Drosophila melanogaster: one gene and its partner. The protein of the gene in region 1 purifies or fractionates together with the protein of each later gene. This does not show direct contact. Each region holds a gene or a part of one and is shown in the gene's direction. Other genes may lie near its edges.

Region 1 (16,655 bases):
ACGATTTTGACTTTTCAAATTTTCTGCGGGAAATGAAAATACTCGAAAATATATGTACATATATGTAGGCAACACTTTGTTTAATCTATAGAATTTACGTTTTCTTTAAGTGCTTTTAAAAGAAAAGCAAGAGTTTAATAAATCTATTTATATGAATGGATTAATTGAAACCACAACATATTAGCAAGAAGCATCTGTTAAACCGCATCTTTATTGAAACTAAAAATTTGCTCAGATTAAATTGTTTTTTGACCTACGTAGCTGCTAACTAATTTTACTACTTGCCACGCCTCCGAACCCAGATAAGAAACGTGCTGTGACCCTAAAACGTGGCCTTGATTAGGGCCTCCAGTCATGGATGGAACGTCACTGGCACAGCAGGTTTATCAGGATGCTGAACCATGGGTTATCCGATCAATTCAGCGGGAGATTATTATGGCGGTATTGTGTTTTTAACTCGAGAATTCAGTTGAGATTCTAAAGTCGTCGCGCTCGGCCGTTTTTGAGATGTGGCGCCATCGCATCCTGCAGCAAGCTTCGCGCCGTGGAATCAGCAAACAAGTGAGGGAAGATGGAGGAGCTCGAAGGGAACCAAGTGGATTCCTGCCAGGCGCAGCAGATGTTGTGGTTATTGGCGGTGGTTCGGCGGGCTGTCACACACTGTATCACCTGGCACGACGTGGTGTCAAGGCCGTGCTCCTGGAACGCGCCCAACTTACGGCCGGAACCACCTGGCACACGGCTGGATTGCTGTGGCGCCTGCGTCCCAACGATGTGGATATTCAGCTGCTGGCTAATTCACGTCGCATGCTGCAGCAATTGGAGGAGGAAACGGAGCTGGATCCGGGATGGATTCAAAATGGTGGCATCTTCATTGCTCACAATGAAACGCGACTGGACGAGTATCGCAGACTGGCCACTGTGGGCTCAGCTTTGGGTATTGAAAACCAAGTGCTGAGTCCGGAGGACACCCAAAAGTTATTTCCCCTCCTCGATCCGTCGGCATTTGTGGGCGCTCTCTATTCTCCGGGTGATGGTGTCATGGATCCGGCGATGCTGTGTGCGGCCCTCAAAAAGGCAGCCACTAATCTCGGAGCACAGGTAATCGAGAATTGCGGAGTGGATGATCTACTGCTGGAGCAGACTGCGAGGGGTAAGAAGGTGGTGGGTGTTTCCACGCCTTTCGGGGACATCAAAGCTGAGAAGGTAGTGAATGCTACAGGAGTGTGGGGTCGTGATTTGGTGGCCCGGCACGGCACCCATCTTCCCCTTGTGCCCATGAAGCATGCTTATATTGTTTCTGAATCCATTCCGGGTGTTAGAGGTCTACCCAATATCAGAGATCACGATTACTCCACCTACTTCCGCATCCAAGGGGATGCCATCTGCATGGGTGGCTATGAACCGAATCCCATTCTGCTGGAGCCCGTGCCCAAGGACTTCCATTTCGGACTCTACGAACTGGATTGGTCGGTGTTCGAGACCCATGTCGAGGGAGCCCAGAAATTGTGTCCAAGCTATGCGAAATATGGCGTGAAGAGCACGGTTTGTGGCCCGGAATCCTTTACACCCGACCACAAACCCTTGATGGGTCCGGATCCCAACCTAGATGGGCTCTACCACAATTGTGGCTTCAATTCAGCGGGCATGATGTTTGGTGGTGGTTGCGGAGAGCAGACCGCCTTGTGGGTCATCCAAGGTCAACCGGACCTGCCCATGTTTGGCTTCGATCTGCGCAGATTCACCCAGGAGCAGGGCAAAGCCATTCAGTGGATTAGGGAGAAGTCGCACGAGAGCTACGTGAAGAACTACAGCATGGTCTTCAAGTATGATCAACCACTGGCGGGTCGTGATTTCCAAAAGGATCCACTTCACGACGAGATGATGAAGGCAGGCGCCGTAATGGAGGAGAAGCAGGGTTGGGAACGGCCTGGTTTCTTCCTGCCCACCGGTTCCAAGAAGGCGGTGGTTCAGCCCTATGACTGGTACGGAAGCTATGTCCACCAGAGGCACAAGGACAGCGAGTACGAGAGAGTTCTGGATGGGGATCTTCACTACAGCCGCTTCTCGGAGTACCACGATCTCGTAGGTAGCTAAGTAGCTTATGGAAAGCCAAAATAATGATATATATCTTTCAGATCGGTTCGGAGGCCCTGGCATGTCGCAATAACGCCGTGGTCTTTAACATGAGCTACTTCGCCAAGCTGCTTCTAGATGGTCCACAGGCCCAGGAGGCCGCTGACTGGCTATTCTCCGCCAATACCAACAGGGATCCCAGCAAGTAAGATCCATGTATAGATATACAAATTTAGAAACCTTTCTAAACAATTACCACTTCCATTTTAGAACTGTCTACACCTGTGCTCTAAACGATGCCGGCGGAGTGGAGGCGGATGTGACCATTTCCCGCCTTGCTCCCGGTTCTGGAGAGGTCTACAATCCCAAGATCAATGGCCAGGGCTTTTATATTGTGGCTGGCGGCGCTTCTGCCTTCTACACTTACAGTGTTTTGCTGGCAGAGATCCGTCGAAAAGGATTCAATGCGAGCCTCAAGGATCTGACTGCCGAATTGGGTGTGATTTCTATTCAAGGACCAAACAGCCGAAAGATCCTGCAGCCCCTCATCGACTGTGATCTGTCCGATGAGCACGTAGCTCCCAACAGCACTCGATTAGCCAAATTCGGTGATGTGGGTCTCCGTTTGCTGCGGGTCAGCTTTGTGGGAGAACTGGGCTACGAGCTTCATGTGCCCAAGAAGGATTGTGCTGCCGTCTATCGGAGTCTGATGAAAGCGGGAGCTGGAGAGGATTTGCGCAATGCTGGCTACCGTTCCCTTTACTCCCTCAGCAGCGAAAAAGGCTATCATCTATGGAGCTTCGATCTGCGACCGGATGACACGCCCCTGGAAGCTGGCTTGGGATTCACATGTCGCAAAACGGGTGCAGATTACCGTGGCAAGGCGGCCATCGAAAATCAGCGAGCTGAGGGCCTAAAGAAGCGACTGGTCTACTTGACGCTCCGGGATCAGGTGCCCATCTGGGGTTTGGAGGGAGTCTACCGAAATGGCGAGCCCGTGGGCATACTTAGACGAGCTGAATATGCCTATACCCTTGGAAAGTCCCTCGGTCAGACATACGTGTCCCGACCAGATGGCAAGATCATCGATGCTGATTACATTCGGAACGGGGAGTACGAGGTGGACATCTTGGGCAAGAAATACCGCGCCGACTGTCACTTGCGCAGCCCATTCGATCCTACCGGCCAACGGGTTCTCGGTAACTATGCATCCGAGTCCAAGTCCAATAAATAAAGATTAGTCTCTTCCACTTCCAAGAACTCGTTTACCCGGCATAGGGAATTTCTCTCAACCTTTCTCTTTCTGGCAGGGCACGACGGTATTGTTGAAGTGCCTGCCTTAACATACATGTAGGGTCATAAATTACTTTCCCCATGAATATGAAAAGGTTCGAAGAAAGGTCACGGTGTAGGCAGACAGGCAGTCTGCGAAGTGGTCACCCGAAATGGTTGCGGTTACGGCTCAATTAATTTCTGTGTCCAACTATTATGACATCATTCTCGGTTTCCGCGAAGGATATGCCTTTCCAGACGTAATTCTAGAGCACTTGGACACCTCGGCCAGACAGAGGGTCGCCACTCAAGTGGATTTCTTTGCTTAAATGAAATTTCATATAATTGTGATATTGATGCAATACTTTCAGCTTATAATAAACTAGGTTCTTCAGGCCTCGATGGTTACGGTGGAGGCCGTATTGGAGGGACTATCGAAGTGGCCAGCTACCACCTCCTCCAGCGATAAATCGAACTTGAAGATGGGACGGAGATCGTTGTTGAGTCGGCAGACGACTCCGGCGGAGGCGATGTTCCAGTTCCAGCAGATCATGGCGCAGTTCAGTGCCTCCAAATCGCCCTTCATCGAGACAATATTCTATATATGGGGATGCAAACATTATTATCAATCAGATTGTGTGCTTTTAGCGGCCCACTTACCATAGCCACTGTATAGTCAATGGAGTTGATCTCCTCGCCCTTGATAACCACCAACTGGGTCTCGCCATTCTGGTTGTTCAGGAAGCGCACCACCTTCTCCTTGAGATACTCAGCCGATGCATAGTCCAGCTTTTGCTTCACATCCACCACGCTAACTTCGTGACCATTGATCTGGTAGATGATATATGATTTGTTAGTGTAAATTGCATCTAGATAAGATAGGATAAGCTCACCTTCTCCAGTTTGATGTCTACATGTGGACGTGCACTGCTATATAGAATGTATACCATGTTGGCACCGATGCCACACAGTATTCCGTACTCCAGACTCCAGAACATGCAGGTGAGTACAGTGACCACAAAGGGAAACAGATCCTTCTCTGGAAAGTTAAGACAGAGCGTTAGTAGTAATACCTACAAAACTTTATCAGCATAAACTCACTCTTAGATTTCCACATGTCCTTAATCTTGTGCAGCTCCACTAGCGATATCATCGCCGCTATAATAATTGCAGCCAGCGTGCATTTGGGTATAAAGTAGAAAGTTTGGGTAAGGAATGCCAGTGCCATGAGCACCAGGGCACCGGTGACAGCTCCACCCAGTGGTGTCTTCACCCCACTGGCATTATTCACAGCCGTGCGGGTAAAGGATCCCGTTACGGGCATGGAGAGCACAAAGCTGCCCATGATGTTGCACATTCCCAGTGCCACCATCTCCTGCGATGCGTCTACAATTTTTCCCTTAGCTGAAAATTTAGAATTCCTTAGTATAAATGGCTTTAGAACTAATTCAAATTATACTTACAAAATGCCTTCGATATGGCTACTATTTCCAGGATCGAAATCAAGGGGATGGAACCCAAGGATGCGCCGACAGTGCTGATCATCTCGCCAAAGGAAACGTACTCTCCATCTACGGTGGTGCTAAAGGGCGGCAGCCGGAAGGGCGGTACTCCGGCCGTAATGTTTCCAGTGACACGGAAGGGTTGATTCCCATCTCGACTGAGGATGTAGGCCAAAAAGGTGCCAAAGATCACAGCCAGGGCGTTGCGGGAGAGACCAAGGTACTTCCAGAATATACGATTGCCCCATTTGATGTCTTTAACACGCTGAAAGTATATTACATTTGTAAATTAGTGAATAATATATATAATATATAATGCAACCATCAAGTTAACTTAAGTTAATAAAGCAACTAATTCTGAAGAGCCAAATTTATGCTGTATCTTAAGGTTTTTAACCCGAAATCAAAATCAAGCGGCTGCAAGAATTTTGTTGATTGGCTTAAATTGATATTGAAATTTAATAAAATTTCGTTTTTATTTTCTTCTCACCGTCATGAGCAACAGGAACACCAGAGATGAGACACCCAGCAGGGCATCCCAGAGCCTAATTGACGTCAAGTGGGTGAAGAAATTCTTCCAGGCGGGCAGTAAATCATTCGAAGGACCTATTTTCAATGCATTTCAATGTTTCAGGTAGTTTGAAATTTCTAGAAAATAAAAAAATAATTTCGCAACTCACTGGTCAGACCCACGATGTTGTTGATCTGGGCACTGCCAATTGTGGTGGCCGCCGCCATGGTGAAGCCAGTGATTACGGGAATCGAAATGAACCTGACCAGTACACCCATGTTGAGCAATCCAAGTAGAAGTACAATGCAACCAGCTAGGAAACACACCAGAACCGCATAATCCGGACTGATAGTGGCATACTGGTTGACCATTAGAGCCATGATGGCGGTTGTGGCTAGTGGATGTTGTGAAATTAGCACTGATAGCAGAAATTTACCCCACATCTGAACTCACCAATTGTGACATCTTTGCAGGAACCAAACACGATGTATGTGAAGCAACCCATGAAGGCGGAGTATAAACCATACTGCGGCTCCAAGCCGGCCACCACTCCATAGGCAATCGCCTGGGGAATAGTCGTTAATCCCACCGTGAATCCCGCAATAAAGTCCTGCATGATGTACTCCAATCGGTAACGAGGTAGCCACTTCAGGATCGGGAACTTGTTGGTCACGGTGGACGGACGGCACAGCTTACGACCGCCATCCCTAATAAGCGTGCTCACATTGGGCAGTTGCTCCCGGTACAGATTATCTGCGAATTCAAAACAAGCCTTGGATAAGGAGTATTTAAGTGTGCCAAGATAACCCCTCCCCGTGCGGGGCTAATCTTGCCTGGCAGCAACTTGTTCGCACATCTGTCGATCAGTGTTTTATATTGACTTTGGGCTGGTCATCTTATCGCCAGACAACCTGGGCTACCCCACGCAGATAAGGTGCATTCAGATACTCTTTTATGAATTGGCACGTATTTTATACGATTACAGCCCCCACAATCGCTGGAAACGCATCAAATCAATTGACCCTGATCGCCGCGATCGCTGCTTCCGGAAAAACCCCTGGAGCAGTTACTCACCCTCATCGGCTCTCATCGCGGGTGGCTCTCCAGCTTTAAACCGGGCTGTAGTTCCGAGAACGATAGGGAAACCGGCTGCGATGCAAAGGCAATGGCTGTAATCAAAACCGGGGAGCTAACGCGTCCGCTCAGTGTGCTGCTCCAAACGCGACTGCCGCTCCGATCGCCGTCGTCCAACGGCTTTAGAGACCGAAAGCAATCGCGTTCGCACATTCTGGCCATATAAGATTTACAAGCGCAGGTACCGGTGCCGCCATATCATGTTCGCTCTGTTAGTCCGTTGATAAACAATTACAAAGACAACCTTAATATTTGGCTAATGACATGGCCGGCTTATTTATATAAAGAAAATAATTACAAGCTAATGAGTGGAGGAATTTTGTTGATTGTTGGAACTACTTCTCGCTGCTCTTCCAGATTTTAATGGCATATGAATTTTGTAGGGCGCCGCTAGCAATCACATTTGCCGTGGGATGGCAATGTGTGCTCAAAATCTGGTCGCCCTCCGTGCTTATCTTTTGCACCAGCTCCCTCGTCTGCAGATTCCAGATGCAAAGCGTATTATCCTCGCTGCCGGAGACAATCCAAATGCCGCCGGTGGTGGAAAAATTGGAGTTGGAGCAATAGAACTCATTCAAATGCCCGCGATAGGTCCTCATGCACTTGGGCTTCTTGTAGTTCCATAGCCTAAGGGTGTTGTTCAATGTGGACGACAGGATGTAGCGTCCGTTCGGTGAGAACTTCACATATCCGACCGGGATGTTGTCAACGTCAACGAGAGTCTTCAGCACATGCCCGGTGCTAGAGTCCCACAAGCGGACCAGCCCATCATAGCTGCTGGTGACAAAAATATTGCCATCGCGGTGGAAGTCCACCGATGTTATGGGATCCTGGTGGGCGTGGACGATTTTGAGCGTTTTGCCAGTGCGGACATCCCAAAGGCGCACTGTTTCGTCAAAGCTAGTGGAGGCCAGCAGATTGGCCTGCGGATTAAAGCAGCAGGAGAAACTGTACCTGGAATGCCCCTCCAAAACTTTGACGCAGAGCTTGCTGCGGGCATCCCAGAGACGCACGGTCATGTCATCGCTACAACTGGCAATTAATCCAGCCGCCGACCAGGCGACATCGTTGACTCCGTCTCCGTGCCCGGCCAGCGATTGAATGCATCGGGTTGCGCTCAAGTCCCAGAGCTTAAGCAGCCTATCGCCGGAGCTGCTGACCAAGTTCTCGCCATTCGAACTAAACTTTAGACCAGTAACGCAACCACTGTGACCGAGGAGCGAGTGCTTAATGGCGTAGCCCGGAGACATGGAGTTCTCCAAATGGAACTGACTTGGTAGCATAGGCATCTTAAAGGAATCGAAAGCGGCCTCCGGGATGGCGATTTCAGTTTCGGAATCTCCAGGAGTCGAAGCTGTTTCAATCAATTCCATAATTTTATTTTTTTCGCCCAATTTTAATTTCTTACGAATCCTGCGAAAAGTTCGAAAACTTGGCGATGATGGTGACAGTTCCTGAGTTGACAAAAGCTTGCTGATATTTTGTAAAAAGGGTTTTCATTTCATCATTTACCCGATTATTTTTGGCGCCCAGTTTTAAGTTTTTATTATTTTTTTAAATTAATTACCTACAAATGTTGAGTCTGTTTTTAATTATCGCGAGAAAAAGTACACACGTACTGATAATTCATTAAACACTTTTTTACAATATTTGTCTAGTACATACAATTGTTAATTGTTTCTACAACTACTTATAACTCATTTAGTCAATATTTGTTTGAATTCCCAGACAGGGGGCGTAAAAAATCAGACTGGAAAAAGTAAACAAGCCCAATTAATTTGCGTTTTAAGGGAGTACTTATTTGGCGACAGGGTGCTCTATTTGCGCAGCCTGTTATTGTTATGCTGTCCAGACTTGTTAACCAAACATTAAACAAATGGCCGGTGCTGTGCCGTGCCGGCAATTTGTCACCTAATTATTTGTCGACGCTGCTAATCTTACATATGGGCAAAATTGGAGAATGCGCGATAATCAAGTCAGTGAACTTAATATTTGCATGGTAATTTAACAGACTTAAAGTGAATTTTTAACTTAAATTTTAGTAACATTTGGATTTTAACTGCACATATATGCCTTTATTATTTTATAAAGTTTGAATCAATGAATTTTTATACTAAAAATGTGTGCTAGTACTAGAATGAATTGAAATTATTTATAATAACTGGAACGTGTTGCTATCGATTTTTTTTTGTCAAAATTTATCTTTTTTATTAAAAATTGAATTTCTACATTAAATGTTATTGATGGTATTTTGTAACGGCTAATTCAAATGATCAACGGTCACACTAGCCAGTGGAGCTGCCAGCTATCATTTGAAATTCAAGTAAAGTTGGCAGCCCCCTGGCGTCTGAAAAATAGCGCGAAGTGAAGTAAACTAAAAAGTATCCCTTCAACCCACATAAACAGCGCAAAATGGACAGCAAGGAGGTTTCGGAGGTGCCAAGGCGGGAGGTGCGCTCCTTCCTGATGGCCCGGGATCCCTCCATCGACCGCCGCTTTCGACCGCGACCCAACAAAAAGATGCGTCTGTTTGACAACATTCAGGAGTCGGAGGAAGAAAGTTTTTCCGAATACTCGGACACGGAATCGGAGTACAAGTACCAGTCGAGCGAGGCAACCGAAGGGGCCTCATGCGCTACCAGTGCGGCAGACAGCAGCAACGTGGAAACGGGGCCACAGGTCTTCCTGCGCTTGCGTCCCGTTAAGGATGCATCCAAAGCCTACATAGTCTCGGAAGAAGCAAATGTGCTGATCACTAGCTGCAAAGTGGACTCGACCAGCAACAATGTGAACCGCATGGAAAAACACTTTGGATTCACTTCCATCTTTGACAGCACCGTTGGCCAGCGAGACATCTATGATACCTGTGTGGGTCCCAAAATTATGGAGGAGGAATGTGTGACCATTATGACATATGGCACATCGGGGTCTGGAAAAACGTATACCTTACTGGGTAAGCGAAGAGGACTTGCAACAAGTTTGCTGGGCAATTGTTAATTTAAATCCATTTTTAGGCGATGATGTGCGTGCTGGAATCATTCCGCGTGCCCTGGAAAACATATTCACCATTTACCAGGACACCGTCTTCCGATCGCCCAAGCTGAAGCTAATCAATGGCAGCATCGTGTTCTTGCAGGACGACGCCTCGCTGAAAGAGCTGCAGATTCGGAAAAAACTTTTAGACTTATGTCCGGATATCAGTGCCCACCATCAGCGTCTGAAGCAGGTCATTGATGGCGACCACATGTTCGAAACGAAGGCTTCCACCGATGTTTCCGTCTTGGTTTGGGTGTCCTTCGTGGAGATCTACAATGAACTTGTGTACGACCTGCTAGCCATTCCGCCGAAACAGGACAAACTGGGGGAGGTGCCACGAAAAAACCTGAAGATCGTGGGCAACAAAGGCCATGTGTTCATCAAGGGTCTGACCAGTGTTTTCGTGACGAGCAGCGAGGAGGCGCTGCGTCTGCTCCGGCTGGGCCAGCAGCGCTCCACGTACGCCTCCACCTCGGTGAACGCCAACTCTAGTCGGTCGCACTGTGTCTTTACCGTGGACATACTAAAGTACAATCGGTCGGGCATCACCACACAGAGTTCGTACAAATTCTGCGACCTGGCGGGTTCGGAACGCGTCAACAACACGGGTACCTCCGGCCTTCGTCTCAAGGAAGCAAAGAACATAAATACGTCGCTGATGGTGCTGGGTCGATGTTTAGATGCGGCCAGTACAGTTCAGAAAAAGAAAAACGCCGACATCATTCCATATCGCGACTCCAAGCTAACAATGCTGTTGCAGGCTGCTTTGCTGGGCAAGGAGAAATTGGCCATGATCGTGACAGTTACCCCTCTGGATAAATACTACGAGGAGAACCTGAACGTCTTGAACTTTGCTTCCATCGCCAAGAACATCATCTTCAAGGAGCCCGTAATTAAACAGCATCGCGTCAGCTACTGTGGTTTCATGGAATTCTCAAAGATGTCGACGTGCGAGGGCGGCGACTACACCAAGGAACTTGAGGACGAAAACGTGCGCCTGCAGTTAGAGATTGAGCAACTGAAGTACGATCATGTGCTGCAAATGCAGCTGCTTGAGGAGAAACTGCGAAGGGAACTGACTGCCACCTACCAGGAGATTATCCAAAACAACAAGAAGCAATATGAAGACGAATGCGAGAAAAAATTACTAATTGCGCAAAGAGAATCAGAATTTATGGTTAGTAAATATAACAATATAATATAATAGTATATAATATAAACTATATATTTAACAGCTTTCCTCTCAACGCCGAAGGTATGAAGAACAAATAGAAGACCTCAAAGATGAGATAGAGGAACTTAAGAATCCTGCAAGCGACACGGACATTTCTGATGATCCAAACGAATCTAAGTCTCCCATCGAAATCCTCGATGATGATTAGTTTCTTTAATTCACAATTTTTAATTTGTTAAGTGTTAGTGATTTTAAAATTTAAATTTGAAACTTGATATGTTGCAGAGTTGGCCACGTTTTCCAATAAACATGTGAATGATCAATAAACTAGTGACACAAATAATGATGTGATTCTGTGCCAAGAAACTTCGAGCAAGAATACCAGAATCGCAATTACCATAAATGTTCCGTACGCCTGCCACATCCACTGAAAATCCACAATCCTTAGCGAGGTAGGGTGCTCTCTTTCCTTCAACTGCAGGCTGGGATCCTCCAGACCGGACAATCCAGCTGCTGTCATGTCGTAGTAGTGCATTCCCACCCAGAAGTCATAGAGTCCATTGGCATTTACCTCCAAAATAAGTTGGCTGACGGGCTCTGTGAACAAGGAATTCTGCGGCCATTGGAAAGAGAGCAGCGCCAGGGACCACAGGCAGTCATCCGTGGAGTAGATAAACAGCTCTCGGGTGAAGCGCTTCTGCTGCTCACTGAACAAATTCCAATACAGTCGGGAGGCGAAGTAGGCATTGCTTGTGTTCCTTCCATTCCTCAAGTGATTGTACTCACTCACATTGACCACCAGCATGGGCACACGCAGTTTCATCCATGTGGGAAAGTCTTCCTCGGTCGTAACCAATGGTATTTTCGTGCGACGCAGACCAGCGAAACTTCGTGCTTGAAATTGCCGTGGTGGATGAGCCATTAATGTGTCCAGTCCCGCTCCAAAAATGCTGCTCACATTAAGACCCACTATTCCAAGCATCAGAAATATCAACCTGGTGGAGAAGCTTCTCGACAAGGGCAAATTGAAGGATTGGCCCAAGATTCCGCGTAAAGCTTTATCATTTAGCACAAAGTCCACCAGACGCACATCGCGATGGGTCATGTTTCGAAGGAGATTCAAAGCCAATCCATAACTGGAAACAATAACAATAGCCAGGAACATATTGGAAGCACTGCTCAGGATAAAGTAAATATCCTTAATTGGAATTCTTCTGGCCACCGGTACCATAAGGCAGACGTGGGTCACCTCCATCGGATAGCTTGTGCTGGCCAACTGCTCGACTCGCTCCATTATCGTCAGACTGGCAGGAACATCAACTGAAAAGCTCTCGCTCAGCTCCTTGAGGGCAGTGGCATTTAGAAAGCGCCCGGTGGTCACCTTCTTGGACAGCTGCAGCGTGGCGTTCAGCTTCCACGACAGCACGTGAAAGAAGCGTCCCACAGATCCGGCTAGGATTTGCTTACCCGTTCGTCTGTCCACGTAGAGAACGGAACGCGGAAGCCATTGGTCGGGCATAACAGTAAGAGGGTGACCGTGCATGTTGGGAAAATCCTTGTCGAATATGGTTGAAGATTCAAGAGAGCGATACTCCGTTCGGAAGCTAGGATATAGGTGATATCTATAAAAGTAACGATGTTCATCTGAAGCTAAAAGTCCAACAATGTTCCAAATTCGGCGATGATAGCACGTTTCGAAAATATAGTCCATTCTAGTTGGATCAGAGAAATTGTTTGATATATAGACAATCTTCTTCTGACTCGGAAAATCCATTAGCGAACTCGTAAAGTTTTCGAGTAACGCCAGGTCCTTTTGCAGCTCATGTCCAGGCAGGCAAGCTACGTGTAGCGGCCGAGAAAACATCCGAATGTTTATAAAAGTCTCGCTATCTGAAAGGACAACCACTGGAATGGTTTGATTCTCAAAGATATCCTTTGCCCAGTTGTACGGACAATAATCAATACGAATCATTATTACTGAGAGCGAGTGCTCCGCTGCTGCTCTAAAGATGAAGTCCACAGCGGATCCCGCAACCAGGACGGGTGCCCATAAAACTATTCCTGTTATCACTGTCCACATGTCCTTTCAATTATGTTGCCCATCAGACTTAGCTGCTTTATTTATATTGTGCGGGAACTGCTCCAAGTTGAAGGGAAATGCCTTGTCAAGCTTTTCACGCCCTCGATGATAAGACACAATTCGCATTGTTTGTAATATGCATATCTCAAAATATGTATTCTTTGTTATTTTGTTACAGTTGCTAAATAGTTAATGGTGTGTGATCGTGGGAGGCGCGCAAATCAAATCGATACGCTGCCCCTTACATTTAAGTTGTTTTACAATTATTTGTCTGTTTCCTGCTGCAAATAAATATTACAAATAAATAGGTATCTTAATTATACGTGTTTTGTGTGTACATATATATATATATATGTCTGTTTTCTCTAGGTACTTAAGTCATGGTGAATGGTAAACCAATTGCCAATTATCAATTAGAAAGATTATAGGATAGATTGCACTTAAGGAGGGTTTGGGAGATTCTAAATTTGAAACGAAGTACTTCATGGAGATCGCCTGTATAACTAAGGTAGAATCATTAGCCTTAAACACAATGTTAATTTGAACTAAACGGAATGTTAATTACACGTAAAGAATGTCATGAGATTGATCTACTAACAAAGTTAGTTTGGGGTTATAACAAAATAAATACAATTAAATAATCGTTCGGGGGAGCTCAGATAACGCTGCTTAAATTTGAGCCGGCTACGGATCCGTGGTTGTTCTTCTGCGGTGTTGTTGTCGGCGTCGTTGACATTGCTATTCCATTTTGTATTCCAGCGTCAAGCAACTGTAGCAACCTTTGTCGCGTGCGTTTATCGCTGACACAAATACAATGAATAAGGTTGTTCAATTGCTTGAGAGAGTATTCATCGCCCGTACGCTGCTGTTCAATCCATTGCTCGAACTGTTCGGGCGCAAAATAGTAGGTCTTGATGAACACATCCACATAGGAGCGATGCTGTGGGTACTTTTGGTTCGATATGAGCTCTAGGAACGACATAAAGTTCGCAAAATCCAGTTGCATAAGCGCTCGTCCTCCGGCAGAGCATTTCTTCACATTGGAGAACCTATAACATAATAAACAATAACTATGTAAAATCAGATCCTTCTGAGAAATAGAAAATAAGAACGTACCCCTCCACCAGCAGATGCGTGGCCACATGGGCCATTGAATTCCACACTTGCTTGCTGGGCACTGGAACCTCCTTGGCAATTTCCTCCAGACACATGGCGAAGCTTTGTATGTTCTGCATATAAATGTGGTTAGTTTGTGTAGTGTATTAAGCATTATTTAGCATTTCCCACCCTATTTAGAACATCACTGTAGTTGCTGTGCTGGTGTATCACATGATTAACATCCCATTTGACCTTGGCCATCTGAGCCAGAATGGATGACAAATCGATGACGCGCGACGTGACGCATGTGTAAACGAGTTTAGCCAAGTCCGCAATATAATCGCTATAGTCCAGGTAACTGGCCAGGATTGGACGCTCTGCAAGGGGCAGCAAGTGGTTCAGATAGTGCTGAAGGACGTTGAACTGCTGAAGCATGCTGCGACCCGCTTCCACGGCCACGATGCGTTGTGACAGTCCGTATAAGGTATCCGGATTAGCTAGCTCATTATTTGCCTGCAAAAGGATGATTTAATTAATTAAAGCTCTAGGAAAATAACATATAATATTACCAGAGAGGAGAAATTAAGGGGCCATAGCTTGATTTGTGGCAGAACGTTAACCTCGACCGAGCGTAAACGTTGCTCCAGTCTAGGAGAGTGCATATTATCCGTTGCTACCGGCTGCAAATATCAACAATTAATATATCTTCAAAAGTGATTGTTATAAAAATATTTACCGCATCTTTTCCGAAGATTTCGTGCACTGCGTAGACATAAAAGTCAATGAGCTCCAGGATGCAAGCCACAATCTTGGGAGAGATGCAGTGCAATAACTTGCACATCTGCAGATATCTTCCAATGACGCGCATCACATTTAGCGCAGTGTTGTTTACCAGCAGCTGGCTAAAATAAATTTACATTTATTATGATTTCGCGGTATAATAACCAAGATAATATTACTTGCTGGCGTCATCGAACTCCTTGCTTTGCAAGCTTTTCTGCTCGTCATCGCTCTCCTCGCTGAAATAACAGGAGGCCTCGTCCACAATGCCGGATAAGATGTCCTCCTCCAACATTGCTGCATCCAAGCCACCATCAAATGGCGAACTTTTTTCGGAGAATCTGAGAAAATATCCGTAGGAACCGTAAATGGAGCTGCCACCATCCTGGGAGTGCACGGAAACCAGCTCATCGCAGTTATTATTGCTGATCGGGGAGTTGTTGGATGAGGCCAGCAAAGCAGTTGTCGGAGACTTGTGGCGCCGAAGAGTGTGCCGAACCGATCGGAATTCCTACAGAGAATTACATGTAGATAACTTAACCAGTCGCTTTAATGGCCAATTTAAAATTACTTACAGGCAATTGCAGGATATGCGCAAATGAGTCGACTTGCGTCCAGGACTCGTTATCCAAGAATAAACAGATTTCCTCAATGCAGCAGATATGGTAACGCCGGAAGAACTCCTCGCTCTGCTGCTGCATCGTCTCGATCAACTTCTCCGACTGCTCGCCGCAGAACTCCAGACCCACCTTCTTAAGTCTTTGTACCACGGACAGCACTTGGATGAACTGATCGTATTTAAGAGCCGTCAACTTTGCCGACTGCAGGAACAAGCACACTTTGGTCAGAATGTCATTCCAAACGCGTGACTGTCCCTTCTTCAGTTTCTGCTGAATGTAAATATCTGGTGAATCCTCCTCCTCCTGTCCATACAACTTGTAGTTATTGTGCCACATAACAACCTGATAGTAGGAGGCCAGAATGGTCCAGAAGGTTTTGCACAAACTAATCAGACAGGGCAGCAGCTTATCCACGCTAAGCTGTTCGCACAGCTGCTCATAGAGCGGCTTGGCCTGATCGTCCTGGCCAGGATCGCTGTAACCGCGAAGCACTGCATTCACAGAAGAGTGAATGGCCGAAATATAGTTGATGTGCAGCTGGTCCATGGCCATCAGTGACTTGTTTGCCAATTTGTAGGCCTCCTGCAGTTTGGCGTATTTTCGCCCATCAAAACCTAGCACCATTTCATTAAGCACAGTATCCAGCTGAAATTCCATAAGCAGCATGGTTTCCTGCAGCTTTTTAGAGAGCGATTGTACACAGTTGAACTGCATGTAGGCCTCGGCGGAGCTCTTGCACTGCAGGAGCAGAGCTATGGCGGCGCTGTAGTTGTGATCCGCTAGCAGCTTCTGTACCTCCACGTCAGTAGTGCGCTGTAAGATATTGTATGTTATTCAAATTGCCCACAGAATCATCAATTCATTTCTGACCAGTCTCTTGATGGCCACCAGGGTGTCCAACACCTCCTTGAGCACCTCTCGTTTGCGGTAGCTGGCCAAGATCTCCAGGCTAGTGGTTGTTAGGTTCGTGCGAGCAAAGTTTAAATAGGATCTCGCCTTTTGGCATGTCCACAGCGATTCCTCCAACTTCTTCTGCGTGTCATTGATAGCGGCAAACTCACTGCTGCAGGCATTCCGCTGCTCCAGGATGTTCTGGAGCACCTGTTTGGTAAGAACCTTCTGCTGAGTGCGCAATTGTGCAATGGTGACCTCGATGAGCTCGTTGTCTATGCCATCGTTGAGAACTTTCTACGGAAGATCGTGGTGGGTAATTAAAGCCACAGCTTACTGGTCTACCTGGTTTACCTTGAGTTCGTACAGCTGTGGATTGCTGTCGGGGTTGTAGTAGCACTGTTCGATGCTCTCCAGGATCTCCTGGTCCGACTTTTGTGCATTTGACTCGCTGGAAGAAGTGGCTGCCGCGTCTGTGGCA
Region 2 (16,681 bases), on another chromosome or scaffold:
ATTCTCTTGCGCTCATCCGGATTCTCTGGCTTGTGCGGTTTCACCAGCTGCAGTTGAGTCCGCTTGCCCACGAGAAGGGCCTTGGAATCGCCCACCCAAGCGATATAAAGCTGATCCTTTGTGATCAAGGCACACACGCTGGTTGTGCCGCTGGTGATCTTCTTCTGGGTGAAACGCTCGTCGGCCAGCAAAAATGCCGACTCGAAGGCATTGCGATAAAAGTCTGGGGAGAATGCAGCAGGATCTGGATTTGCTTTAAGCTGATCGGCTAGCAGTTGTGGGAGTTGGCTGGTTGCATAGGTGGCGGATAAAGAGCCAGAGTGACCATCAAAGACGCCAAAAAAACGGGTGGTCTTGTCCAGCAGCTCGTACATTTCACCAAATCGATCCAGGCAAACACAGCGATCCTCCATTTTGCGGGGTTTGTTCTTTACAGCGGCAGATGTGTGCAGGGGTTCTTTCTGCTGGTGGCACTCGCAGTTTTCCGGCGCCGCCTCATCAGCGAAGTCCTTGAGGCGATCCACCTCCGAGTTGTCGGTGAGTTTTAGGATGTACTTCTCAAACTCACTGGCCACGAACTTCTGCAGCTTGAGAAGATCGTACTGCGGCGGACCCTCCACGGTGACTTCACACTCCTTGGCAAAGCACAGATCCTGCTCCAGCTGCTGTGTGCTTCGATGGAGTAGCTTAATCCGGAACTGCGCCGGACATCCTCGAGTCTCCAGTTGTTTCCAAATAGCTGAGACCAATTCGGCATGACGCTCCTCGCCGGACACTTTGTATGTCTCATTGGCCGTACGAGTTACACAACTCCGGCTGACCACCTCCTCGCTTACGGCTGCTGCCTTCTCCGCCGTGCTGACCAGAAATCGCTTGAATTCCATCAGGTGCGCACATTCCGATGCGGGAATCGCATCTGACGACATACTTGTCGTGGGTCGCGTGTGCCTCAGTTCCTGTTTCCGCTCCTAGTGACGCCGCGCGATCATGAGCTTATCAATGCTAATTGTTGCTCAACGATGATTCACGCGCGCACTGTGCATTTTATGATTTTTTTTTATGTTGTTATTGTTTGCGTTCTTCTATGTTATTCTGCTGCGAACTGAACTGTACTGGCTCGATAACTTTGCTATGCCTATCGAAATAGATGCGTGATATTCCCACCTACGAAGATTGTTTACCCTTCATCTTCGGTTTCATCTATTACGCTTCATTTCTCTTTTTATTTATTTTTTAATTTTGATTGAAAACCTTTAACTGCATTTGGAAACATAAAAAAAACTTCAGAAGTATTTTAAATGAAATAATAGAATATATTTATAAACATAATTTTAATCAAGCCTTTACAATAAATAACAAAAACACCTATTTAGCCTTTTTAAGGCTTCGCATGCGGACCCAGTGGAGACAAGCTATAACTGATTTGAGATAGAACGGCCACACATCCACCGGTGGCCAGCTGATTGTTACTGTTGCTTTTGTTTTTGTTACAAATTTTGATTTTTGTCTTGTTTAACAAAAAATGATAAAATCTTGAACAGTAAAGATAATCCACACAATTTACTATGAGCACGCCACTGGAACAGCAGACGGAAGAACGGGAGGCGTTGCAGTCAATATACGAGGGCGACACGAACTTCAAGGAAATAGATAGCGTCACATTTCAGTACAAAGTAAGCCACATGGATAAAAAAAAGCACACAAATATGATAATTTGTAATATAATAAATGAAATTTTAGTATGGCGAAGAGGATAACTACAAGTCGTTCTTGGTCGAGCTCAAGTGGGGCGAAAATTACCCCGATGAGGCGCCAGCGATCAACATGAACGCGTTTTACAATAGGAATCTGTAAGTGGATCGTTATTCCTTGGGAAATTGGAGCAGGTTTAGCTCTAAAGACTACGCTTTCCTATTTAACAGACTGCCAGCTGTCAAGGAAGGGATCCAAACGGCTCTGAGTACGGAAGCGGACCAATGGCTGGGCTGTGGCATGACCTATACCCTGTTCGAATGCCTTAAGGACAACCTGGAGCAATTGACCGCAGAGCAACCCGAATCTGCACCCACGGTGGCGTTAGTGGATGATGGCGTGGGTGCTCTAAAGATCTCCGATCCCAATGCCGATGCGGAGTCCAAGAAAAAGGAGCCCAAGAAGGAGCACCTGACTAAGGCGCAAAAGCGCCGGCAGTGGGAGAGAACCGATCACAAAGGAGACCGGGAACGTGGCTGGGATTGGGTGGACCTCGTCAAGCATTTATCGCAGACGGGTGGGAAAAACGATGATTCTCTCACTGCCGCCGAAATTGCAGCGTCCAACGCTCCAGCTCTCCACCCCCTGAACAACTAAAATGCCTACCAACTAAAAATAGGAGTAATAACATCGAGGAAACCTTAAATTGAAATCAAAAGCCAATACTATTTTATGTGATAGAATAAACGCGAGTAACTGCATGGGCGGCTATCATAAAGTCTATATCTTGTTTACGCTACTAACTATCAAAGGTTTCAACTTTTGATTTGGGTGAGAGGATTGGCCCTTATAAGATAACATTATCTTTAGAGGAGCAACACAGCGAAATTCCTGGGAAAACTTTATTGACATTTGTAATATTTGCGTTACATGATGGCTGCATAAAATCATAGTTTAATACAAAAGTAAAAATCAAAATCGATTACAATACCGGGATTTGCTTTGCAAGGATCAACATTGACAAGGATAACTAGCGATAAAAACGATCATTCCAACTGTGTCAAACTGGTCAGTCTAATTAAAGACGCCTTCGGCCCGGACATTTAAGGCATCCAGCAAGGAGCCCATGGGCGTGGAGGGAGCAAAGCTCTCGATGCTGTTGGTCAGCTTGTTCTTGATGTTTCGCAGTCGCAAGGAGGCGTGGATGAAGGTCAGCGAAATAGGTAGCAACACGGTGAAAATCGTCAAAAGCACTGCGCTCAGCAGATGCAGAAGAAGATAACCTCCGAGCAGAGCTCCAGCCAGTATGTACCATTTCTGTTGGGCATTCTGCTCTGCTGCATTGGCATTTCCACCAGTCAGACGACTGGCGATGAAGTTCTTCTTCGACTTTCCGCTGAAGAACTGCCAGATAACGCCTATGATCAAAGCCTGCACCAGCAGACCAGTAATAATCTTTGAAGGATTGAAGAAAATCATCAAAACGTAGATGGTAATGAAGAGCAAAAAGTAGTTTGTTTGGTAATAGAGCAGGTTCTTCACCACCCGATTGCCCCACTTCTCAAAATCCTTGAGATTGGGCAGTTGGAATCGGGCCGATCCCAGGATGAAGTCATCGAGGGTTCGCAGAGGCGGCAACTGAAGATTGCCGGACAAGGCGGCGGCTGCATCGCCCACGGAAGTGGAGGGCGTTGTCATGGTTTTTGGGTTATTGCGGATGTCCTGCTGGCTCTTGTCCTGCTGAAAGAGCTTCTGATAACTCGGTTGACGTAGGCTCCGTGCGACGTTGCGAACCTCCTCCACGTTGAGCAGATTAGAAGTCAACTGCCGAATTTTCAGCCGCAAGCCAGTGGTTGCTGATTTTCCCCTTTTCCCGGGCAGCAGACGCGTTCTCTCGTCGTCGGTGAACCAGTCGTTATTGTCCTCTTGCTCACTATTATCCTCCAATCCTCGGAATTCCAGCGTATATTCAGATTTTCACACGACTCCGTCGTGACTTTCGTGCTGACTAACAAGCAATGACTATAGGATTCTGGAGGTGGACTCGTGACTGCTGCCGTGAGGGCACTCGACGCACTTTTTAACTTTACCTTTTTTAATCAGTCGCTAGCAATTAAATTGTCAAATCAATTGACATTTCATCAATTAAAATATTACTTGAATAATAAATTAAATTTTAGGCCATAAGTACGTGAGTCGCAATAGCCCATCACCATGAGCTATCGATAGGTACAAATGGCGTTGCCACACCAAAAATTCAAAAATATATTTTGAACTTAAATTTGGTTTTTCCTTTGATATTCAGTAAACTTACGAGAAGCCCATATTTTAGAAAAGCACTTGTTTGGTGTTTTAAAGTAATATCTGTATAACTATATTTTTTATGATCAACTGTCCCGAACTTGTGTATTTGAACGTTCTCACTTTAAATGATTATTTATATCTTCAATCTAAACTCAAATTCAAATTGAATTCAAGCTCTCTGTCAAATAACAAGAATGTGCCTCTATTATTCGTTAAATAGACGGAAGTATAAGTACAGCTAACATAACAACGCATCTTAAATAAAAAGAACTAAATTGTGGTTCACGGAAATTATTCTGGAAACGATTTTTACTGATGTGTGAATGTTTGAGAAACGGGTTGGTTGATGGTGTTGGGCAGATCAGAGAATCAACCTAAACATTGTTAAACAATTATTAATATTAATGTTCATGATTAAATTAGGAATAGTTTCTCTATTTATCCTCCGACTTGGACGTTGACTACGACTACTTAAAACTTGGTTCAAGTTTTGGTAATGCGTTGCTGCTGGTAACACGATGATGCTTTCATTTGGTAGGTGGTGCTTGGTTACGCTTCCAGATCGTTAACGAACAGCACCTCGCGGTTCTTGAGTCCTACGGCCTGAAGGGTTTTGGTCAGCGTCTCCTTGGCTGTGCCTGTTTCCCCAGCGGCATCCAAGTTCGCTTTCGAGAAGAGCACGCGCTTCGGGAAATTCGTTGTGATCTCGAACTCATCCGGCGAATCGGGATGGCAGAAGAGATAGTGATAAACGTCCTGCAATAACATCAAATCATCAATCCCAAATTAGCAGTTTAAATTTGTGTAACTTACAAGCACCGAATCCGTCTGGTTAAATCGGCGCTCTAGGCGTGTTCCACTGGGCAGCTTGAATACAACTGCAATGGCGCCGACAGCATCCGCTGCCGGCTCGGATGGCACCAATGTGGCCAGCTCGATCTTTTGCCGGGCAATCTCCTCCTTGCGAAGCTCGACATCGCGTCGAGCTTGTTCCACAGCCTCCTCCGCCTGCCGGACGGCATCCCGCTCCCTTTGCCGCTGACGCTCCTTCTCCTCGTCCGCAAGCAAACTCTGCTCGTATGCCTCGTCCTGCTGTCTTCTTAAAGTCTGTGTAAAATTCCGCTCTAAGCGATCTGCACGCGCTTGACTCAGCCACACCTCGTTGGCGTTCGTCACCGACTGGAGGCGACGGAGCAGCTCTTCGGGCGTGCAATCCCCCTCGAAACGTCCGACGATCATCATGCGATTTGCTCGAAGGCTGATCATCACCATCGTTGGGTAGCTGCGCACCGTTATCGACTGCATCACCCGGTAGCCCTCCGGCGTGGCTACGTCGCATCCCCATAACAGGGTGTGTGTGTTAATGTAGTCAATGACCGATCTCGCCGACAGTGTGTTGCGGCAGAAGGATTCCACATCTGGGTTCTTGGCGGGATCCTTGTGCAGGTAAACGATTAGAAAACGCAGCTCCTGCTTAGCATCGTTAAGGGCCTGGGCATATGTGCCCTGATAGAAGACCGGGTGCTCGGGATACCTTTCGTAGTATTCCCTAATAAACTTCATCACATCCCCCAGTGGATCTGTCACCAAGCGGGCTTCGTTTCCTCCGCCCAGGTTCACAAACGCACTGACGATGCTCGTCAGCGTGGAGTAGAAGTACTGAAACACGAAGTTAATCACATATCCAATGATGCCGGTGAAGCTGCGGGGAACGGGGCCACTGGGCACCCGGCTAACCGTCCTTCCGCCAGGCATGTTGGCGGAAAACACCTGCTGCAGGAAGCGATCGTTAAGGACAGCGGGCGCTCGGACATCTGTAGAGGCGGCGAACATGGTCGGACGCCCCTCGCGGATATTTAGCTGCTCCTGGAAGGCCACCTGCATATGTAGATATGAAAAAGGGTAAATAAGCTGGTATTTAGTATAGCAGGGCGCCCAACGCAAAATTGTAAAAAACAAATTTAAAAAGAATTTAGAATAAAATGATTACTATCTTTAGTCGTCAGATAATATATATGTACAAAACTTGTTGGTAGTAGTATTCTTGCAGCCACCACTGTATGCAAGACTGCAAGACTACGTGACCCTGTTATTTTGACATTCACTGTGTGGGCATATAAACATATGCATACCTCGAGATCCCATTGGTGTCTGATTAGGACGTCGCGGCAGACGTTCATATCCTCGATGCCGGTGAGATCCTGGAACTGGAGGACCTTCTCCGTCTGTTCGTTGGTCAGTCCATCAGCTTCCATCTTTCCTGCAGTTGAAGGCCTCCGTTCCCAGTTGTTATCGTTGTTGTTTGCTTTTACGCAGTGCGTGCGTGTGTGTGCTTGTGTGGGTGCCAATGGCCCGTGACTGTCTCCCTGGTGTTGTTTTTGTTGTAAGCTGGCCTTTGTCCAGTGGCTCAGCCGCTGCGGCGGGGGACGGGGGATGAGTAGCGTGGTCACTAAATGCTTCTACTGGTCGCCAGGAGTCATTTCAACGCACGCCAAATTGCCGCACTACAACGTCTTTAACATTTCTCGGCAATTTATTTCTTTTTCGCAGGTGATTGCTTGCTCTTCTTCTTGCCTTTCTGCCAATGATCCGATGAATTTGGTTGTGAATGACTAGTGTGACCGCGCAGGCCGACGCGTTCTCACTGCGAAATCCAGCGGCAAACAAACAATTTGTGTTCGCTTTTTAAAAAATTATTTTTATTATTTATTTGATCTCTATGCCTGGCGTGGTAAAACACAGAAAAAGATTAAAAGCAATATTGATATATAATTCAAAGGTGTTAGATAAGGACAATGTGTAGTGGAATCAGCATATTTGTCTAACATCACTTGGAAAATCGACGGACGAGCTTTGGAATTTTCAGGTAATAAAGCAGCGGGCACATTCTTAAATCAGTCCGAACAAAAGCACTCAAATTTGAATTGTGTAAATATCTGAAGAAATAAATCAAAATGCATGTTATTTCCACGTCTAAAAAAACCGTGCTCTCCGACTTCGCGGATCTGGAGACAAAGTCTGAGTATGTGCACCAGAACGCAGAGCCCACGGACTTTCAGTTCAACGGCCAACGCCGGGTCTTCGTGGAGGTGGATAAAATGGCGGGCTTGGCCGTGATGCGAATAAAGGAGAAGGATGGCAAGAGTAAGAGAGAGGTGCGGATCCCCAAATCCCACGTATGTAATTAACTTCCCATTTCACAGCGCCCGAGATTCAACGAGTCCGTAAGCTCACCATCGACAATGCCTTCTGTGTGGCGTGCGCCAAGCAATCCCTGGAAGAGATCGCTGTGGGTCAGAGCGGTTGTGTTAAGCTATACAACTTTCGGACGGCACAGCTCATCCATCGTTTTCCGGCGGACCCGCAAAGGAGTACTGTCCTCTACATGGACTACAACAACACGGACGAGTATATAGCCGCCGTGCGCGATGGCGGGGACATCAGTATCTTGGGTACCAAGACCAAACAGAAGACCAACACCTTCACCATAGATGGCGAGTAAGTTAAAGGCTTGCTTGTTAAAGGATTGCATTGATCTTTCGCTATCCTGTTAATATCAGCTCTACTCTTGTGCGCTTTCATCCGAGCAAACGCTTTCATCTGTCGATCGCTTCCTATAAAGGAGCCGTGACTGTCTATGATGTGCAGGGAATGCGAAAGATTTTTCATGCCAGCGAAGCCCACAGTGCTCCCTGCCGGGACATCAGTATGTGCACATCCCAACCGGCACTGCTGGTCAGCGTGGGCTACGATTGCAAGATAAATATCTTCGACATTCGACGAAATCGTGCTCAGGCCTCTACGGATCGCTTGACCTACTCGCATCCACTATCGACGGTGGCGCTGAGTGAATGTGGCACTTATCTTTGTGCTGGAAACCTTAAGGGCGAATTAATAGCCTATGATATGAGGAGTACAAAGGCTCCGTTGGCCGTGAGGAGTGTACATGATGCGGCTGTAACACGTGTAGCCTTTGTGCCCGTGCCAAGTGGGGATAACCAGCAGAACGGTAGCCTCAACAGCTCCGAAAATGCAACTGGTTTGGCGACCGAAGCTCCTCGTGTAGAGCGTGCGCCCAGCGATGAGTTGCGTAAATCGATTGCCGCTAATTTGTTGAGCACCCAAAACCAGCTGACCAGTCTTGGTTACGGGGTGTCAACACCTACCATAGTTCGCCGGGATTCCTTTTGCGAGTTCCTGGATGCCCAAGGTCCAAGAGCTGTGGATCGCATGTCGACCCGCTTGGGCGCCTCTTACAGAGATAGTTTTGACTGGGAGACGCTCAACCGAAAACCGCAACCTTATGAAACTGCCAATCGTCAAAGTCTTTGTCCTCCAGTGGCGTCTGGCCCAAGCTCGGTGGATAACTCCGTCAACAGCTCCACCACGGAGTCACTGCAACGCAAGTTACTGTAGAGATTATTATTTTTTAGTTATAATAAGCTTATTACTTGCAGAGACCTTAAGCGGCCCACTGAAGGATCGGAGCAACATTTCCGGAGACGGAAAGCTGATGAAGATTGCCGAGACGGACGAGCTCTGCGAGGAGCAGTCTGCCAACATTTCCGTGGCCAGCAGCACAGGAGGCGGCAGCGACAAAGAGAATCCCCCGCCGGTTGACGCAGAAATGAAACGCCGTCTGCGCTTGCTTTCGGCCAGTCGAAACAGTACCCCGCACCATGCTAACATCACACCACAATCCTCAAATCCTCTCTTGAAGCCTCAGCAGTTGCTGGCCAAATCGTCAAGCGGACTTTCCGCCCAAATGGATGCAGATTGGCGCAAGGAATTCAGCGAGCTAAGAGATTTTGTAGACCAGCGCTGCGAGAAGGTGGAGCGCGAATTGGAGTACGTTACCTTCTCTAATCAGCGGCTATTGGCTAATAAGATGACCAACTACATGGACCAGCAGGTGGAAAACACAAGGGAGATCCGGGACGCCCTGGCTTTACTACTTCAAGGAGATAGCTTCATGCGCGAGTTCTCGCGCCTACAAAATGAAAACGAAATGTTAAAGGCCAAATTGAAGTTTTACCAGGAGCAGGAGCAAACTGAATCATGCGGAGAGTAAAACGAGGGGGAGACATGTTAATAATTAATTGAAACATTGTTATTATTGTATTTAATTTATTGTTATTATCAACTATTAGTAACATTTTTCAAAATAGGTTTTGGCGTCTCATGAGTTTTATGTAAATTTTAATTCGTTAATCGATCCATTTAGATATTTTACAAATGTTTTAGAATATTTACCTCGGTCTATAAAATGTTTTTGAATTCGTTATTAATATAGTGCTGCCAAAAGTGTAATGCGATAAGAAAGCTTCTTAAAATGTATTTTTTAAAACCCTTTTCACTTTCTGTACTCTAGCTTTAAGTGATCATTTTTCGGATTCGTCATGGGCATGTCCACCGATATGGTCCTGTTGAAGTTCTCGTAGTCGACAATGTAGCGCTCGTTTTGGGCGTCGTAATGGATGATATTGACGAACCGCTGGCCCCAGAAAATCTCCCTTGGCAGATAGGACGTCTTGGCCTCCGTCATCTGCGCTGTGGCAGGCGAAGTGCCCACAATGGACACATACAACTCAAATTGGGCAGCATTGAAGAGTTTCGCTGTGGTGAACTGAGACAACGGGCTGGTCTCATCGATGACATGGCACACCACATCGGGCCAGAGAATAATCTGCTCCCCATTCCCCTCCAGCTTCAGTTCCACGTGACTTTTTATAGTCTCACCCTCGCGCGTGCTGTCAGAGAAATAGATAAGATGGGGGTTCGTATTAATTGCTTGTTTTATCCAGCAGCAAGTACTATCTGAATGGAAGGTCAGTTCATTTATGACTTTCCTTATGACTGGGTCAATATTTCAGGAGTCAAGTGTGATTAAATTGTTTCTATAGCATTTATAAATATTGAAAAAAAAACGTTGAAGATCAAGACAAAATAGGAAAATATACCCAAATTAACCGCGGATTCTTAAGTTCTATGATTTTCCCTAAAATGCGACTGTGACTCACCGTTTGTCCACGATGATGTAGACTCGTATCTTGGACTCGATGGACTGCTGCTCGCGGGGATCACAGACGCGGAAGAGCAAACAAAGCCTGCCGTCGCGATAACAGATCTACGTGAGATAATCGCTAAAGGATGGATCCGAATGGTTGGGTGTACTCCTCTCGCCCAGTGGAGGCATTTTACTTACCACCGCCTTATCGCTGAACTTCAGCTTGGTCAGCTGCCTCGCCGGCCGTGCGGTCTTGGCATAGATCACGCTCACCATACAGCCCTCGATTAGGGCCGCACTCAACATCTGCATGACGAACAGGAAGATCGTCTCCGGACACTCCTCGCTGGCGTATTTTTCGCCGAATCCGAGGGTCGTCTGTGTTTCCACAGAGTATATGATCATGGCCACCCAGCTGTGCACCCCGTAGATGCAGGGATCCACGCCCTCGCCCATTCGCTTGCCACTTACCGGATCGAAGATGAAGTCACCGTGCGAGTAGGCCACCACGTAGCAGAGGGCGGCGAAGAGCAGCCAGCTGAGGAAGTAGCTGCCCAGGAACAGGGTCAGCATATACTTCCACTCCAGTTCCATCTGCGCGATTGGAAAGAAACGACCTTTATGGATTACCAATGAATGAAAATACGACCCATTTTAATATCTTTACTGTGTATCCCTTCAATTTAGCAAGTGAATATGTGGTTGGTTAATACGTATTTATTAATATGTGTGAGTATTTTAGTCGGTCATGGCTTGATCAATGTACTACAAACTATATGCTGAACGTGACGCGCTCGTTTTGGTTAGGATTAGACTTCGAAAAATGGGGACTCAGGTGCGGTGGCTCATTGGCCAGTTCATCGAGTCTGCGCTGAATACTGGGCGTTATGCTATACACATCCGATCGCGATTGATCGGCCCTGGGTGTAGACGTTTTCCTGTGTCCGAACCAGGATCTTACCAGCGTGGTGACCAGATCCCGCATGTAGCGCCATGACTTCTCCGGAATGCGGCGGAACACAACGTTCTCCTTGCCGTTCTTTTCCATCACGCGATTAAGGCTGCGTCTCAGTCCATCGGAGGAGGAAGTCCGCGGTCCGGATCCCAAATCTGGAGTAAGCTCAATCGTACTGCCCGCCCAGTCGTGTGCGTAGGGGAAACTAAACGTGGGACTTATATTATTATTTATATAAACTTGTAGGGTTTTTATAATACCAGAAAAGTTCATAGAAAATAAAGGTTTTCGTTTCTTAGTATCCATAGTCATTATAACAACTATCTGATTGGTAATTTCTTTTGCCTAAACTCAACTCACTTTTGCTCGCTGCGTGTTTCCAGGTGATCGCCGGCTGCTTTTGACCTTCTGCGCCGTACGAATCCCGGACTCTCCGGATAGTAATCGGACGCATTGACCGTCTCCTTTTCGGAGGAACGGAGCAGTGGCTTCTGCTCCAGTGGCTTGGGCTTCACCGGCATGGAGGTTGAGCGATGCATGGTTAGGGAATCCGTGGCAGCAGCTCCCAGGGGAGATGCGTCCGATTGCATGACCGGGATTCAGCTATTGCCGCCTACGTCGACGCGGAATCACTGACGAGAGCGTGGCCTATAATTGTCGGAAATTTGGGGCAATTTCACTCGAACGCGTAGATCTGCGTTTTAATTTTAATTGAATTGAATTAGGCTGCAGTGGCCCACGGCTACGATTTATAGTGAGAGCGAGAGCTCAACTTGATTGCCTGACCGCTTGACACTGACTAAGTCCGCGTCCATACTATCTGCCCCTTGAAGATGTGCATTTGGATTTATTTATTATCTTGTTCGTTGGGCATATGACAGCGGTTGTCCGCCGCCCGCCGAGATTAGTGCCTCGAAATGTGCCCCAAGATCTTAAGTAAAAGTCGGACGCTATCAGTGTATTTATTTTGCGAACGATCAAATATTGTCCTAAGTCTGGCAAATATTTCACTTTTTATACGTCGGGAGGGCAGCACAATCTTTTGCATCTGCATCTCTTGACTGGAAGTTGATAGTAGATAGTTGGTAAGATATCCGGTTGCGTTTGAATTTGCCGCCCACGTAATCGATCGAGGCACTTGTGTAAGAACATTTTAAGGACAGATAAGGATACAACTTTAAACTCTCTCTGGAAACTTTTATAATATAATTGCATTTAGTTTCCTTATTTGTGATGATAACAGTCATGTTACCTAATTTCTCAAGCTAAAAATAAAATATTAGCCCAGATTAAAAAAGAAAAATAAATCTTAAAGATTTGAATAGCTCAGATCACAACCAGACTGGTTGGGTTCAAGGCTAGATCTATGTATGTAAAATTCGTCGTAGAATCAATGTATAATTCATACAGAGAAGAGAATGTCGAATTTGAAATTCGTTTTTTTTTTATAAAACCAGACCCAGTTAAAATTGCTCTTTATTTTAATTTCAAAAACTTGTAACTTTTTATTTAAACAGTGGGCGCGTTGTTTTGTTTGTCATTACTTTTCATACACTTTTCGTCATGTCACGCTCGTATATGTACAAAAGAAATACCAATGCTTAGGACGAATCTAATAATAGTTATGCACATACGTTCATATTTATTTATATTAAAATATCTGCCAATTCTCGATTTGTACAATTCGATTTACACGTATTTGTAGAACATATAGGGGGGTTTAGGGATACATGTATATATATATATTTACAGCTAGATATTAGACATAGTTTTAGGGATCTGCTCCTCAGCTAGGTGTTAGACATACATAGTTTAGAAACCTCTTCGCCTCCATCCGGCTCCTCTGCTATAGGAAATTTGTTTGCTGAAATTGATTTTACGTAGTTAGGGTACCTCTTCCTTGATAGATGTTGTTTGGGGCGTCGTCATCGCGCTGTCTGCGGTAGTGGTGGGGAAGAGCTTGGAGGTAAGGGTCCTCTTGAGCTCCATGATCGGCTGCGAATCCTCCTCCTCTTGGTCTCTGCTGGACGATGGTGCTGCCGTGTCAGCCGTCGATGTTGCCGGCGCATGGTCCGCCTCCTCGTGCGAGGATGTGGGCGTGTCCCGCGACGAGGAGCACGAACTGGACGCCGATGTTGCGGTTGACTGATGCTGTTGCTGCTGTTGGTCGTGCTGCTGCTGTTGCTGCTGCTGCTGCTGTTGCTGCGTGACCTTGCCCATGAAGCTGCGTATCTCCTCGAAATAGGATTCCTCAGTAGGATTCTCGCAGAATCTGCGTATGCAGTGCATCCTTTCGCTCACGCCCGACAAGGCACTCAAGGACACCGCATCCGACTCGTGCTTCTTGAGGTGCCTGTCCAGATTCGTCTGTTGGCCAAAGCATCTCTCGCATATCTCACACTTGAAGGGTCGCTCCTTGTTGTGGATATTCCGCACATGGCGCTGCAGATTCGAGGATATGCTAAAGGAACGTTCGCAGTATTTGCATTTGTAGGGCTGCTCGCCCGTGTGCGTTCGCAGATGCCGCGTCAGGTTCGCCGATCTCGGAAAGACTTTTCCGCAAAACTTGCAGGTGTAGCGATCCTTGTTGCGTTGCGGCAAGTTTGGCGTGGCATTGCCCCCGGTGGCAGCTGTTCTGGCCTTGTTTTTCCTCCGCGTCTGATAGTCCTGCAGTTGCGGATGCGGCAGGACCGGCGACAACTTCGGGTTCGGATGAGGCAGCTCCAGTTGCAATTGCTCTGTGGGCGGTGGCCAGGTGAGCTCGCATTTCTTGAGCGGATGCCGGAACGGGAAATCCGCGCCCGTTGGACTACTGGAGGCCGCCGGACTGTTCACCTTGCCCGGCAAAACCCCAGCGAACACATTGCGATACTGCAAGGGCAAGTTCTTGGTCATGGCTTCTAGGAGTGTGGGATGTACGGCAGGTATCGAACATTGCGGTGGTGTTAAGGGCGGTGCGTTGGGTGGTCCACCACCGCCTCCTCCTCCTCCTCCTCCTCCGCCACCGCCACCTGCACCACCCTCTCTCAAGGCCCTCAGCATTTTGCGGCTCATATCAAAGCCCAGGTCGGCCAGCGATGCTGCGATATGGTTGTTGTTCAGCTCCTTCTCCTTTTGCTGAGCCACCGCCAGTTCACTGGCGAACATGATCAGGTTGCTGTTCTCATCCTCCATGGGTCCTTGATCCACCAGGTCCGTTTTCCGCTTGTGTGCCAACCGCAGATCCAACGGCTGATCGAAACTGCTTCTCCGCTTGCCCTTGGCATGGTGATTTAAGGTCTGGTGTTGCTGGTGGGAGTGTTGGTGCTGCAGCCGCCCAGTTGTCGTTGCCGACGTCGTCGTCGGCGACGTTGATGACGAGGATGTGGCCGCCACCGACGCTGAGGAGGCCAGATCATAAGGTACGTGTGATATATACGATGTGGGTATTAATCCTAAGGCAGGGTATACGCAGCCCTGTTTCGGGCTAGGAAGCATCTTTCTTGGTGAGTGGTCTTTCTCTCTCATAACTCTCATTAGTCGCGAACGGGCGGTAACCGAGTTTTTCCTCCGTTTTCCTGCGTTGTCTTTTTGACTTCGATTGAATAATTGATTGATTGGTGGAATGGGGGTTCGATTGATTGCCCAGGCTGCCAGGTTGCCAAGCTGTAGGTTTTAGGTTTTGTGCTCGCTTTCTCGATTTTCAATGCGTCTGATGCCAAGGATACTCAAAATGATTCTGTTTCAGAACTGCCTTCGACTTACAGTGATTATGTACCTGAAAGGAAAAGCAAAGATTTACCGATTAATAAGATTATAAGACTATTTTAAACACAAATCATATGCCTATCATCGAGGACGACACTTTAATTAGTGACAAACGAAAGGTAGGGCAAAAATTCTAGGATCATTCGTTACAAATTGGTTAAATTTCAGATAGTATGATGATTCATGATTCGTCACAAAAGTGAATTTCAAAACTTTTGTTAATGGTGCAATCGCCACAAACTTTTAATCTCGTTTATTCAAACAATTAGTTTTAAAAAGTTTGATATTAATACATAACTGGACCTTTATAAAGATATACAATGGTATATATCTATAACTTTTCATTAGACCTAACAAATTCATTCAAAAGCTTTGTTTACTTGGACCCAAAAGAAGGCAAGTGCTTGCACCCATTGCCGAAATTAAAATCTAATTCTTGCCTAATAAACCCAGTTCCCTGGTGCGTCACACAGTTCGACTTTTCGCAGCTGTGTAGATCATCGGACTATATGTTTTTTACTATCTTTATGTTTAAGGTAATTCCATGTACGTCATTAAGCGGCCTGGAGACACACCAACCCATCTAATAATAGTACAGTGCCGACTGTTCGGCAACCCAATAAACATCTTTTTGGACCATTTTCTGGTTATTTTCTTCTCTTCTCATTTTAATGGATTCTTTTGCCACAATGCCAAAAAGTTCGAAAAGGAAGGGGGCCGCCGAAATGTTTAAACAATTGTTCTATTGTCTGTTGTTTTAGGGTGGAAAAATACTTGAAAACTGACAAGAAAAAGAAGTCATGAAAATTAACAAAAACCTTAACGGTATCTAGAGTGACGATTATGTAAGACAAACAGACGGGCAGACAAACATCTAAGCACACACCTCCAAGGGGGTGGTGGGGGGAAGCCCATGGGTAGGAAGTGGGGTACAGTGGCACTTCGTGTGGAGGTCGTTCAACATCGCCTGAAGGTGCGTGCGAGGCAGAGGAAAATGCGTGGGCTTTCAAAAAGGAGGGTGGGTTACACTGCGCGAAAACAAGGACAAAGTGAGAAGATTTTAAAATTGCACAAAATCAACAAGATAATTAATCCAAATCTTTATCATTTATGAGCTGTAGCTTTATAAAATTCAAATAAGCTACGAATTAATTGAGTGCAGTAAGTCCAAGTTATATATTTCATGTTTAGTACGTATTTTTTTTTGCTGTGCATTAGCTGAAGCTCGACTCTGGGCAGATGGCACGCCAAGAATAGACCTTAAAGAGATCCCCAACTCCACGGCTCATCATGTGAACCGAACTCAACGGCAACAGCAACGGCAGGTAAAGTTGCATATTTGCAAACTGCAGCAGCAACAGCGACTGCAACAACTGCTGCAACAGCAACAACTTTAACAGACAACTTGCATTCAGGTGGGCGCGTTGATCTATGGAGCTCTGTTCTCCTATCTAGAACAGAATTTTTCATGAGACATTTTCGTGGGTTGCTGCTGTCGTCGCTGATGTGGCTGTTGTTTTTGTTGCACCTCTTGTTGTTGTTGCAGCATTTAGCGATCGTCTGGCGACAACAAATTGCCTTTTGTTGTTGTTGCTGACTGGCTGGCTGGCTGGCTGGCCGGCCGTGTTGCCAAAAAGTTAATTAGCCGCATTTGCTGCCTTTGATTTGTTGTCTGGGGTGTTATGGAGTCGAAAATGATTGTTGCAGAATTGCAATTAGAGCTTGAGAACGCGTGGAAAGATTGCAGCGTTCATAAATGCAACGATCAGGTGTTTTTTTTTATGAATCGTTTAAGATTTCGGAAGATAAAATTATACCTAACTCTTTTTGTAAAAAGTAAGTTAATTGGAATTTCAAAAGCCTGGAAATTATTTACTTTACAAACTAAGCTTTACTTTGCTAATCTAATCGGTTATCAAATATTTGCCAATTGGTTGGCATTATAAACATATTTTTCCTCTATTTGCTTAGCTGGC

The links.
Region 2: the proteins of sub (region 1) and Grip71 purify together in Drosophila melanogaster (affinity purification with western blotting, with the first as the bait; one study listed by BioGRID). This does not show direct contact.

The regions. Positions count from the first base shown.
Region 1 is NT_033778.4:17,740,231-17,756,885, reverse strand, and holds sub (subito), read left to right. Parts: upstream 1-8,807; 5' UTR 8,808-8,907; coding exon 8,908-9,448; intron 9,449-9,509; coding exon 9,510-10,708; intron 10,709-10,766; coding exon 10,767-10,913; 3' UTR 10,914-11,024; downstream 11,025-16,655. Other genes in the region: Sardh (sarcosine dehydrogenase), read left to right, coding at 508-2,085, 2,139-2,281, 2,347-3,310; CG5002 (uncharacterized protein), read right to left, coding at 3,740-3,946, 4,009-4,179, 4,242-4,387, 4,450-4,752, 4,812-5,115, 5,341-5,456, 5,531-5,755, 5,815-6,114 and 1 more; CG10931 (uncharacterized protein), read right to left, coding at 6,831-7,868; Ir54a (ionotropic receptor 54a), read right to left, coding at 11,025-12,785; Vps50 (vacuolar protein sorting 50), read right to left, coding at 13,441-13,834, 13,902-14,014, 14,073-14,396, 14,453-14,563, 14,620-14,785, 14,843-15,174, 15,239-16,096, 16,154-16,471 and 1 more. UniProt on the Drosophila melanogaster protein: Required during female meiosis for bipolar spindle formation in the absence of the centrosomes and chromosome homolog segregation. Also has roles in male meiosis and mitotic divisions of the early embryo.
Region 2 is NT_033779.5:18,701,988-18,718,668, forward strand, and holds Grip71 (Grip71), read left to right. Parts: upstream 1-6,858; 5' UTR 6,859-6,950; coding exon 6,951-7,140; intron 7,141-7,199; coding exon 7,200-7,494; intron 7,495-7,556; coding exon 7,557-8,398; intron 8,399-8,453; coding exon 8,454-9,067; 3' UTR 9,068-9,310; downstream 9,311-16,681. Other genes in the region: CG10376 (uncharacterized protein), read right to left, coding at 1-926; CG10343 (uncharacterized protein), read left to right, coding at 1,566-1,673, 1,741-1,850, 1,923-2,349; Jwa, read right to left, coding at 2,767-3,390; Faf2 (Fas-associated factor 2), read right to left, coding at 4,546-4,752, 4,810-5,874, 6,129-6,251; Irk3 (inwardly rectifying potassium channel 3), read right to left, coding at 9,350-9,746, 10,017-10,123, 10,202-10,597, 10,965-11,175, 11,319-11,548; CG10348 (uncharacterized protein), read right to left, coding at 12,843-14,465.